2 linked regions of the Mus musculus genome follow. The protein of the gene in region 1 interacts with the protein of each later gene in a pairwise test. Links are inferred from orthologs where the notes say so. Each region holds a gene or a part of one and is shown on either strand. Other genes may lie near its edges. The genes, in order: Plaa and Ubxn1.

Region 1 (3,813 bases):
AAACTGGTATTCCCAAGTCCCAGTGTTTGACCTTTTGTGTTATCAATAATAAATTTAGCCACCTGATCCAGAAACATGGGATTCAAATCATTTTTCTGCAAGAAGTTGTATGCAACTAGCCAGGGATCGTCACTGACATTATATGGTAATTTATACGATGGTCCACCTTCATTCACATCGATTGAGAAAACATAATCAAATTCCTGTAATGGAAACAGAAAATCAAAGATAATTTACCTGTTCGAATATGTTGAAGATATATATAGCATAATATAGATGGTATGCGGTCTTTTTATTCTAACCATTTAGATTTAAAACTTTTCTCTAAAATGCAATGATAAAGTTTTCTTTTTGGCAGATAAAGAACCAAAGTGTGCATGTGCTGCAAAATTAGTTGTTTCATTACGAATGGGGCAGGTGATGGCTGAGGTGGGACTGGACTGTAATTACTTATTAATACTAGGTCCAAAAGATGATTCCCAAATGGTTGATCTTATGGTTAAAATGATCAGCTGTTAGGGTGCCCCAGTAACCATGACATACTGGCATTATAAGCACAGTCCTGCAGTGTCTCCCATGACTTCCCAAGTTTAGCAGAGACACGCATTAAGCATGAAATGGAAGAAACTCCCAATCCAAAAATTGCTGGAAACAGTTTTGTATGGGAAATTCTAAAAGACAGATAATGGCTAATTTGTCACATGTAGCTTCCTTCACATAGATTTTATACAGACATTTAAAATGCTTTAATTATATATATATCTTGATATATATTTTAAATCTATTTTAAGATAAAAGATTAATTTTTTACAATTTATTTTTAAATGTCAAAATACCAAAGAAAATTATCAGCAGAGAAAACTTCTAATTTTGTATATAGTTTAAAATAATAATTAGAAAGCAGAAATTGACATACTTTCCCTTCATATAAAACTTTTCCAGATGTTTGCTGATTAGCACCAGATGAGCCAACAACATCACCAATTTTTATCCACCTCCCGTCACTAACACTCCACTGATAGGCTTCAACTCTCTCTCCATCTCTGATTAGACGAGTCTGTCCTTCTCTAGTACCTTAAAACAAATATTTTAAGAGTCAAAGGTCGACTAGAAGAGTAAAATGCAAAAACACTTAGACATATTTTAACATGTTTTTATGGATGCTTCCAAGTTTGAAAACCTTGTCTTGTCAGTTATGTGTGACAGGACTAATCCTCAAGTATCAGTACCTGGCACTCAGAACACATGGAACGCCACCCCCCTTAGCACTGCTGATATTCCCAAAGGCAACGTGGTGGCATTCTTAGCTACAATTTCACTGTAATAAATAGTTACCTGGCTCACTGAGATGTTCCCTCCCAGGAAGCTGCTCCGCATTAATATCCCCCAAGTCACCAGTTTTGGAATCGATAGTTGCCTGAGAGAGCTCTCTCTCAAAAGCTTTGATTTCCTCAGCACTTGCTGTCCGCTCCTCTGACTCTGTAAACACCCTAATAATACCATCACTACAAGAAAAGCAGACACATTTTAAGTCATTGCCACAGTTTATTAACATTCTCTCATGTGAATAAAGCAATAATTACCTGTCTGCATGAATATGAAAAATATCACTATGCATTGTGGAGAAGTAAGCTGACTATGACATATATTACTTTTCAGCTATTTAAAAAAGTTGCTGGCAAAGGAGAAACACATTAAAACACAATTTTCAATTTTTTAAAATAACTGCCAGTGACTAAACACATCAGAACCTTGTGTCCATTAGCCTGTGCCCCCCACTGAGTTGTCTCCTAGCATTTGGTTTTTCCGAGACAGGAACTAGAACATAGCCATGGCCAGCCTTAAACTTGTTTCCCCACCTCAGCCTCTGAAGCTCTGACATTACAGGGTCACTGTGTCCAGCACAATTTTCAATTCTATATTAAGTATTTACTGCAATAATTTAGAAATACGGCATTTACTTTTTGAAATCACTACCACATAGTCAACATATACTATCAAAAAGAGTTGGCTGGGCATTGGGGAACATACAATGAGCCTGAGTTTCACAGCAAGACCCTATCTTGAAAACACAAAACTAAAACAAGCAATCAAAAAACAACAAAAACGAGTTATTGGGCCAGTTTGCTTTACAAAATTGGTTCAAAGACCCAACCTAGTCTTATGTTCAATATGTGCAAATATCCTCAAAGGAAAATATAGCTCCATGATTACCTAAATATAGTCCTCAACCTATATCCCCAAGAAAATATTCTAGTCTTATGACTACATTTCTCAATTCTGATTTTAAAGTGAGGGAGTCATGCTAGCTCGTTTAAATTGCATTAATTCTAATGAAGTCTACAGAATACTTTATTTCCTAACTTTGTAATATCCTGTTCACTTTCTCAGTTGGCTCATATTTCTTTGATGGTTACCAAGCTTCATGTGAAATATACCTATGTCGACAAATGAATCCCTGCCACAACCATAAATAAGAGGTCTACCAAAACTTCGGCACTCAGAGCTGTGACCTTTCTCTTCTGTTCCCAATGTCTAGTTTACAATCTCTTCCTAGATCAAATACTCCTTTATTTCCTTTATTTTGCTATAGATTTTCTACTAAAATGTAACAGCAATAACAGGCAGTGCCATCTTTCAAAATGAAGCCATTGCTTTTCTACCTTTCCATTCTCGGACCACTTAGCATTCTATGACACTGACAGAAAGCTCCCTCAGGCCTCTCTTCCATCTCCTCGAATTCTGACATCTAGAATCCTGTATATGTGTGTTTTAACCTACTGACCTTTCTATATCCGGAGTATTTCACAAGATTCACTGGCTAGTCTTCCGTCTCTCTTCTACACTTGTTTACTCAGAGAAAGTTCTGTGTAAATCTTCATTATCATCCTTATACTAGAATTCAAACTGACTACTCAGGACCCACTGGCAGTGTGGCAAGATACTACTCAGATTCAATAAGTCTTTTTTTCTTTTTTCTTTTGGTTTTTCAAGACAGGGTTTCCCTGGGTAGCCCTGGCTGTCCAGGAACTCACTCGGTAGATCAGGCTGGCCTCGAACTCAGAAATCCACCTGCCTCTGCCTCCCAAGTGCTGGGATTAAAGGCGTTCGCCACCATTGCCTGGCTTCAGTTAAGTCTTAAGTCAAAGTATCACCTTCTCTATGACACTAAGACCAACTTAATTCTCCCATTTTTCTATTTTTTATTAATGAAGATTACCACAAACTATTGTTTTAAGCTTTGTCCTTTTCCTGTTTTTCTCCTATTCTCTCATTCATTTATCCATTAGTGTTGTAAGGTCAGTGTTACCTCTAGTTGAACTCAATCTGCAAAAGCTATATATCCCACTTAAATCTGATCACATCTTGGTCAAGAGCTACAATCCTTTAACACTAAGCAACAAATCTAAAAAGGACCTAGCTTGAATCTTAGCTATACTCCAATCTTACTCCAGTACTTCCCTAATCTAAACACAGAACATTCACTTCTAAAGGGAACGTACTATATTATTATTTATCAGAAATTCTAATTTCCATTATTCAACTTTGAAAATCCAATTTAACTTCTCCAGAAAGTTTTTCCATAGAGATCTCTATTTTTTCTAATTTCTTTGGTATTCAGTGTTTTCACTATACAATTTATAATACTATACCACAAAGTAAGCATCAATACTTGGAAAGTTCTTATTACTGCTGTTTTACTTGATAACAAAAATGTGCAAGCAACCCTCCAATACTTAAGTACCTACCAACCACCTAGACACGGAAAATGTATTGACTGACTAGAATATAAATACCTCGCACCAACCACAA
Region 2 (4,254 bases), on another chromosome or scaffold:
CGATACCTCACAAGACAAGATGGAATTACTTTTAAAAGTCACTGTGAGGACCATATTATGAAAATAGCTGTGTAATGAATCTAAAACTGCTTAGTAAGGATGAAGTAAGGATTTAAATAAGATGGGCAGGTGAAATTTGATCTTTCCAAAGAGTAGAGGAGATAGGATTTCAAAAGTCATGTACAAAGAAGGGAGAGATTTGGCAAAGGGGACTTAAGCGTGAACAGCTCTGGGCTGTCTGGCACTTTATAAGCCAACACGGGATTCCAGAAGCAAGACGGTCACTTGAAAACAGTACCTGTATACGACACTGGTCATACTCCCGCTTAGTAGGGGGCTCCTGGCTGGGAGAAGAAGGAACAGGACCTGGGTCTGTTGCTGGTGGGGATGACCGAGAACCCACACTACCACCATACTGAAAGACAAAATGGAACACTACCTCAGAGGGAGCACACTAGTCTAGCATGTATAAAGGGTCACCCTCCAGTACATGGGCCAAACACACACACACACACACACACACACACACAGAGGTTTGGCAGTTCACAGCTTTTAGTTAGAGTACTTGGAAGGCTGACGCAGGAGAATACTATGAGTCTGACACTAGTCTGGGCTAGAGTAAAATTGCCTCAAAAAAATCATGCTAAGCACACTTTAAGGAAATTAACCCACATACTCCACTATACCCAGACTTTCTAATCACCCACCTTCTTGGCTCTCTCTGCTTTGTCCCTTTCAATTTTTTCTCGAACCCTTTGTCTAGAATAGAGACAGGAAGAAAATAGGTCAGACATGGACAAGGCAAATCTTCATTTCTTTCCCAATTAGCGACCAATGAGACTTCAGACCTGGCAGCTAACTCTTCAGCCTTTTCCCTCCTGCGCTCCTCCGCAGCCCGGCGCATCTCATCTTCCTGCAGTTTCTGTCGTGCAACTGACAGCTCTTGCCCTTGTCTCCTCCGCTGCTTTTCTCGTTCTAAAGCTTCTCGCTCCTCTCTTTCTTCACGTTCCCGCTGCTTTTGTGCCACAAGTTCCAACATTCTGTTTTGCAGAGAAGAAAGAGGTAAAGTTGGACATGGAGTGGGAAGGTGAGTTTAGACTGAGAAATTAACAAAATAAGGGAATACGGGCTCCAAGACAGAGGAAAGGAAACAAAACCAAAACAGTAATATAAAGAGGACAAGCAGGGCCAGACCTGGTGACACACGCCTTTAATCCCAGCACTTGGAAGGCAGAGGCAGGCAGATTTCTGAGTTCGAGGCCAGCCTGGTCTACAGAGTTAGTTCCAGGACAGCCAGGACTATACAAAGAAACCCTATCTTGAAAAACCAAAGAGGACAAGCTAGGTGGTAGCAGTGCACGCCTTTATTCTCAGTGTTCAGAAGGCAGAGACAGGTAAATCTCAAGTTTGAGGCCAGCCTGGTCTACAGAGCCAGTTCCAGGACAGTCAGGGATAGAGACTCTTGGCTTGAAGAAAAAAAAAAAAACAGAACAAAGCCAAAAAAAAAAAAAAAAAAGTGTAGTTTAAAGGTAGAGCACAATATATCATGCATAGACCCTTGTGGGTTTTTCTTTCTTTCTTTCTTTTTTTTTTTTTTTGGTTTTTCTGTTTAGCCCTGGCTGTCCTGGAGCTCACCTTGTAGACCAGGCTGGCCTCGAACTCAGAAATCCGCCTGCCTCTGCCTCCGAGTGCTGGGATTAAAGGCGTGCACCACCACGCCCAGCGTGGGTTTTTCTTATTGTTGTTGTTGGTTTTGTTTTTAAAGAAAGGGCATAGTGATGCATATCTATAATCCCTGCATTTGCAAAGGAGAGGCAAGAGAGTTGGGATTTCAGGGGAATCTGCAGCCACACAGGAGTTTGAGACCAGTCCTGAGCTATGTGAGATGTTTCCTGGTGACTTGCAGCACACCCTCAAAACCGGAAAGGTCAGGTTCTATGATCAGACTTGTTTGTATTTGAGAGGAAGGAAGATGACCCATGACCCTTGGTAAAGTGTGTCACTGGGCTATGGTGGCCCAGGCCTGTAATCCCAGCACTAGAAGAATGTGGCTTCGAATTTAGCCTAGGCCGCATACGGGGTTCCAGCGCAGCCTGAGGTACACAGCTGGACTGCGTCTCAAAAAAATAATGCAAGGCACAGTGAAGGCCACATCTCAGCACTCTGGAGGCGGAGGCAGGAGGATCCGGAGTTCAGCCTGGGCAAGAGTTAGGCAGACTCCAAACAAAACACACACACACACACACACACTGAACTTGCCAGTCACCTCTTGGTCTGTTCTTGTCTCTCCTCTTCAGTCAAAATGGGTCTGCTTTCTCCAGCAGCAGACCCAGAGCCTGCAAACAAGCAACCAGGATTAGTATTTAGAATAAGATCATTCTGATTTTCTCGGGGCCCTTTCAAGGTCTCTAGAATCACAAGATGTCTCCCAGTCAGGACCTTCAGGGCCAACTTGCTCTGAGGGCGTGGGTTCTCGTCCCAGGACATGGCTGAGGGGAGTCTCCAGAGGCTCATCCACATCGGGGTCGTCTTCATGCTCCATCAGCCTGCGCGGAGAAAGTAGGCAGGGGTTGGTTAGCCTGGAGGCCACCTTGCCCAGCGGCTCCCAAACTCCCGCCACCCGTGCGGGTCGCCCGCTCACCAATCCATCGCAGCCTCGATGCCCTGGTTCCCTGTGAGGGCCAGAGCCTTCTCCCTGGGGGCAGAAACACCGTGAATAGCGCCCACCAGCCATGGTGACAGTCAGGCCGGCCAGGCCCGCGGCCTCCCACCACCGGCTAGGGGGAGGCTCCCTTACGCGCGTCCCCTGGGAAAGCCCATCTCGATGAGGCTCTCCAGAGCCGTCAGCTCCGCCATGGCGCCCGCCTCCGCCTCCGCGGGGACCTGCGGGGACCAGAAGGAAGACCGCAAGGGTCAGCCCGGGGCGACTCCGCCCGCGACGCCGCCCTCCCGGCGCTCGCTAACTCACGGGGCGGGAGACCCAGGGACGAGGGGGGAGTAGACAGTGAGTGGGGAGAGCGGAGGGGAAGCGGAAGTGCCCGGTCTGTTTGTGTCACGTGGAGGCAGGGTGGACGGGTGCCGAAGAGAGCCAGAAATGTCCTTCCTGGTGGGCGGGGACTTTGAGGAGGGACAACTGACAGGAAGGAGACCCACCCACGGGGAAGAAGCTCCAGACAGGCTTGAGCCGGTTTGCAGGCTTTTAGGATTCTAAAAGAGAGCCTGGCTATGGATCGGCGGGTAAAAGCACCTGCCTTCAAGCCTAATTATGTGAGTTCGATTCCTAAGACCCACGAGGTTGAGCACAGAGGAAAAAGGATTCCTGTTAGTTGTCCTCTGACCTAAGCACACGAGTCGGGGCGTTCATGATAAACAGTAAAAGTTTATCTCTCTCTCCCTCTCTTTCTGTCTTTCTCTCTCTTTCTTTCCTTTTGGTGTTTTGAGACAGGATTTCTCTGCATAGTCCTGGCTGTCCTGGAACTCGCGCTGTAGACCAGGCTGGCCTGCAATCCAATGAGATCCACTTGCCTCTGCCTCCGGAGCGCAGTACTGGGATCAGAGTGTGTCGCCACCACCTCCTTGCATTTTTTAATTTTCCGTTTTCTCTTTTACTTCTCTTTCTGTCTTTTGGCACCAAGACCAGACAGGCCTCAAACTCAGAAAAATCTGCCTGCCTCAGTCTTCCAAGTGCCAGGACTAAAGTTGTGTGCCACCACACCCATCGGTGATGTATGTAAAAGAAGTTGGGAGGAGAATAACTCTTATATATATTATTAGTAAGTTATTTATCAGAGTCTAGGGAGTAGGTCTAGTGGTGATTTGGTCTAGCATGCTTGAGTCTATGTTCATCATCATTGTTATCACTGTCTTTGTTTTTTGAGACAAGATCTCATTATGAAGCCTTGGCTGTTCTGGAACTTTCTAAATGGATCTGGCTTTAGAGACTGATCTCAAACTCAAATATCAGTCTGCCTCTGCCATCCAGAGTGCAGGGATCAAAGGCCAGAAACATCTTGCCCAGCTATCTTTTTTTTTTTTTTTTTTTTTTTTTTTTTTTTCGTTTTTGGTTTTTCGAGACAGGGTTTCTCTGTGTAGCCCTGGCTGTCCTGGAACTCACTTTGTAGATGAGGCTGGCCTCGAACTCAGAAATCCACCTGCCTCTGCCTCCTGAGTGATGGGATTAAAGGGGTGTCTCACCACGCCTGGCTTGCCCAGCTATCTTAAAACCTTTCTTTTTTTAAAAAAAGATTTATATTT

The links.
Region 2: the proteins of Plaa (region 1) and Ubxn1 interact in binary tests that used the Homo sapiens proteins (3 or more experiments, as listed by UniProt). The two-hybrid records come from large-scale screens. The link is inferred for Mus musculus from reciprocal best matches to the Homo sapiens genes PLAA and UBXN1.

What each region holds. Positions count from the first base shown.
Region 1 is NC_000070.6:94,582,498-94,586,310, forward strand, and holds part of Plaa (phospholipase A-2-activating protein), read right to left. Parts: coding exon 3,798-3,813; intron 1,506-3,797; coding exon 1,336-1,505; intron 1,075-1,335; coding exon 917-1,074; intron 204-916; coding exon 1-203. UniProt on the Homo sapiens protein: Plays a role in protein ubiquitination, sorting and degradation through its association with VCP. Involved in ubiquitin-mediated membrane proteins trafficking to late endosomes in an ESCRT-dependent manner, and hence plays a role in synaptic vesicle recycling.
Region 2 is NC_000085.6:8,870,300-8,874,553, reverse strand, and holds the start of Ubxn1 (UBX domain-containing protein 1), read right to left. Parts: upstream 3,007-4,254; 5' UTR 2,857-3,006; coding exon 2,798-2,856; intron 2,696-2,797; coding exon 2,642-2,695; intron 2,547-2,641; coding exon 2,440-2,546; intron 2,337-2,439; coding exon 2,267-2,336; intron 1,041-2,266; coding exon 849-1,040; intron 760-848; coding exon 708-759; intron 416-707; coding exon 299-415; intron 1-298.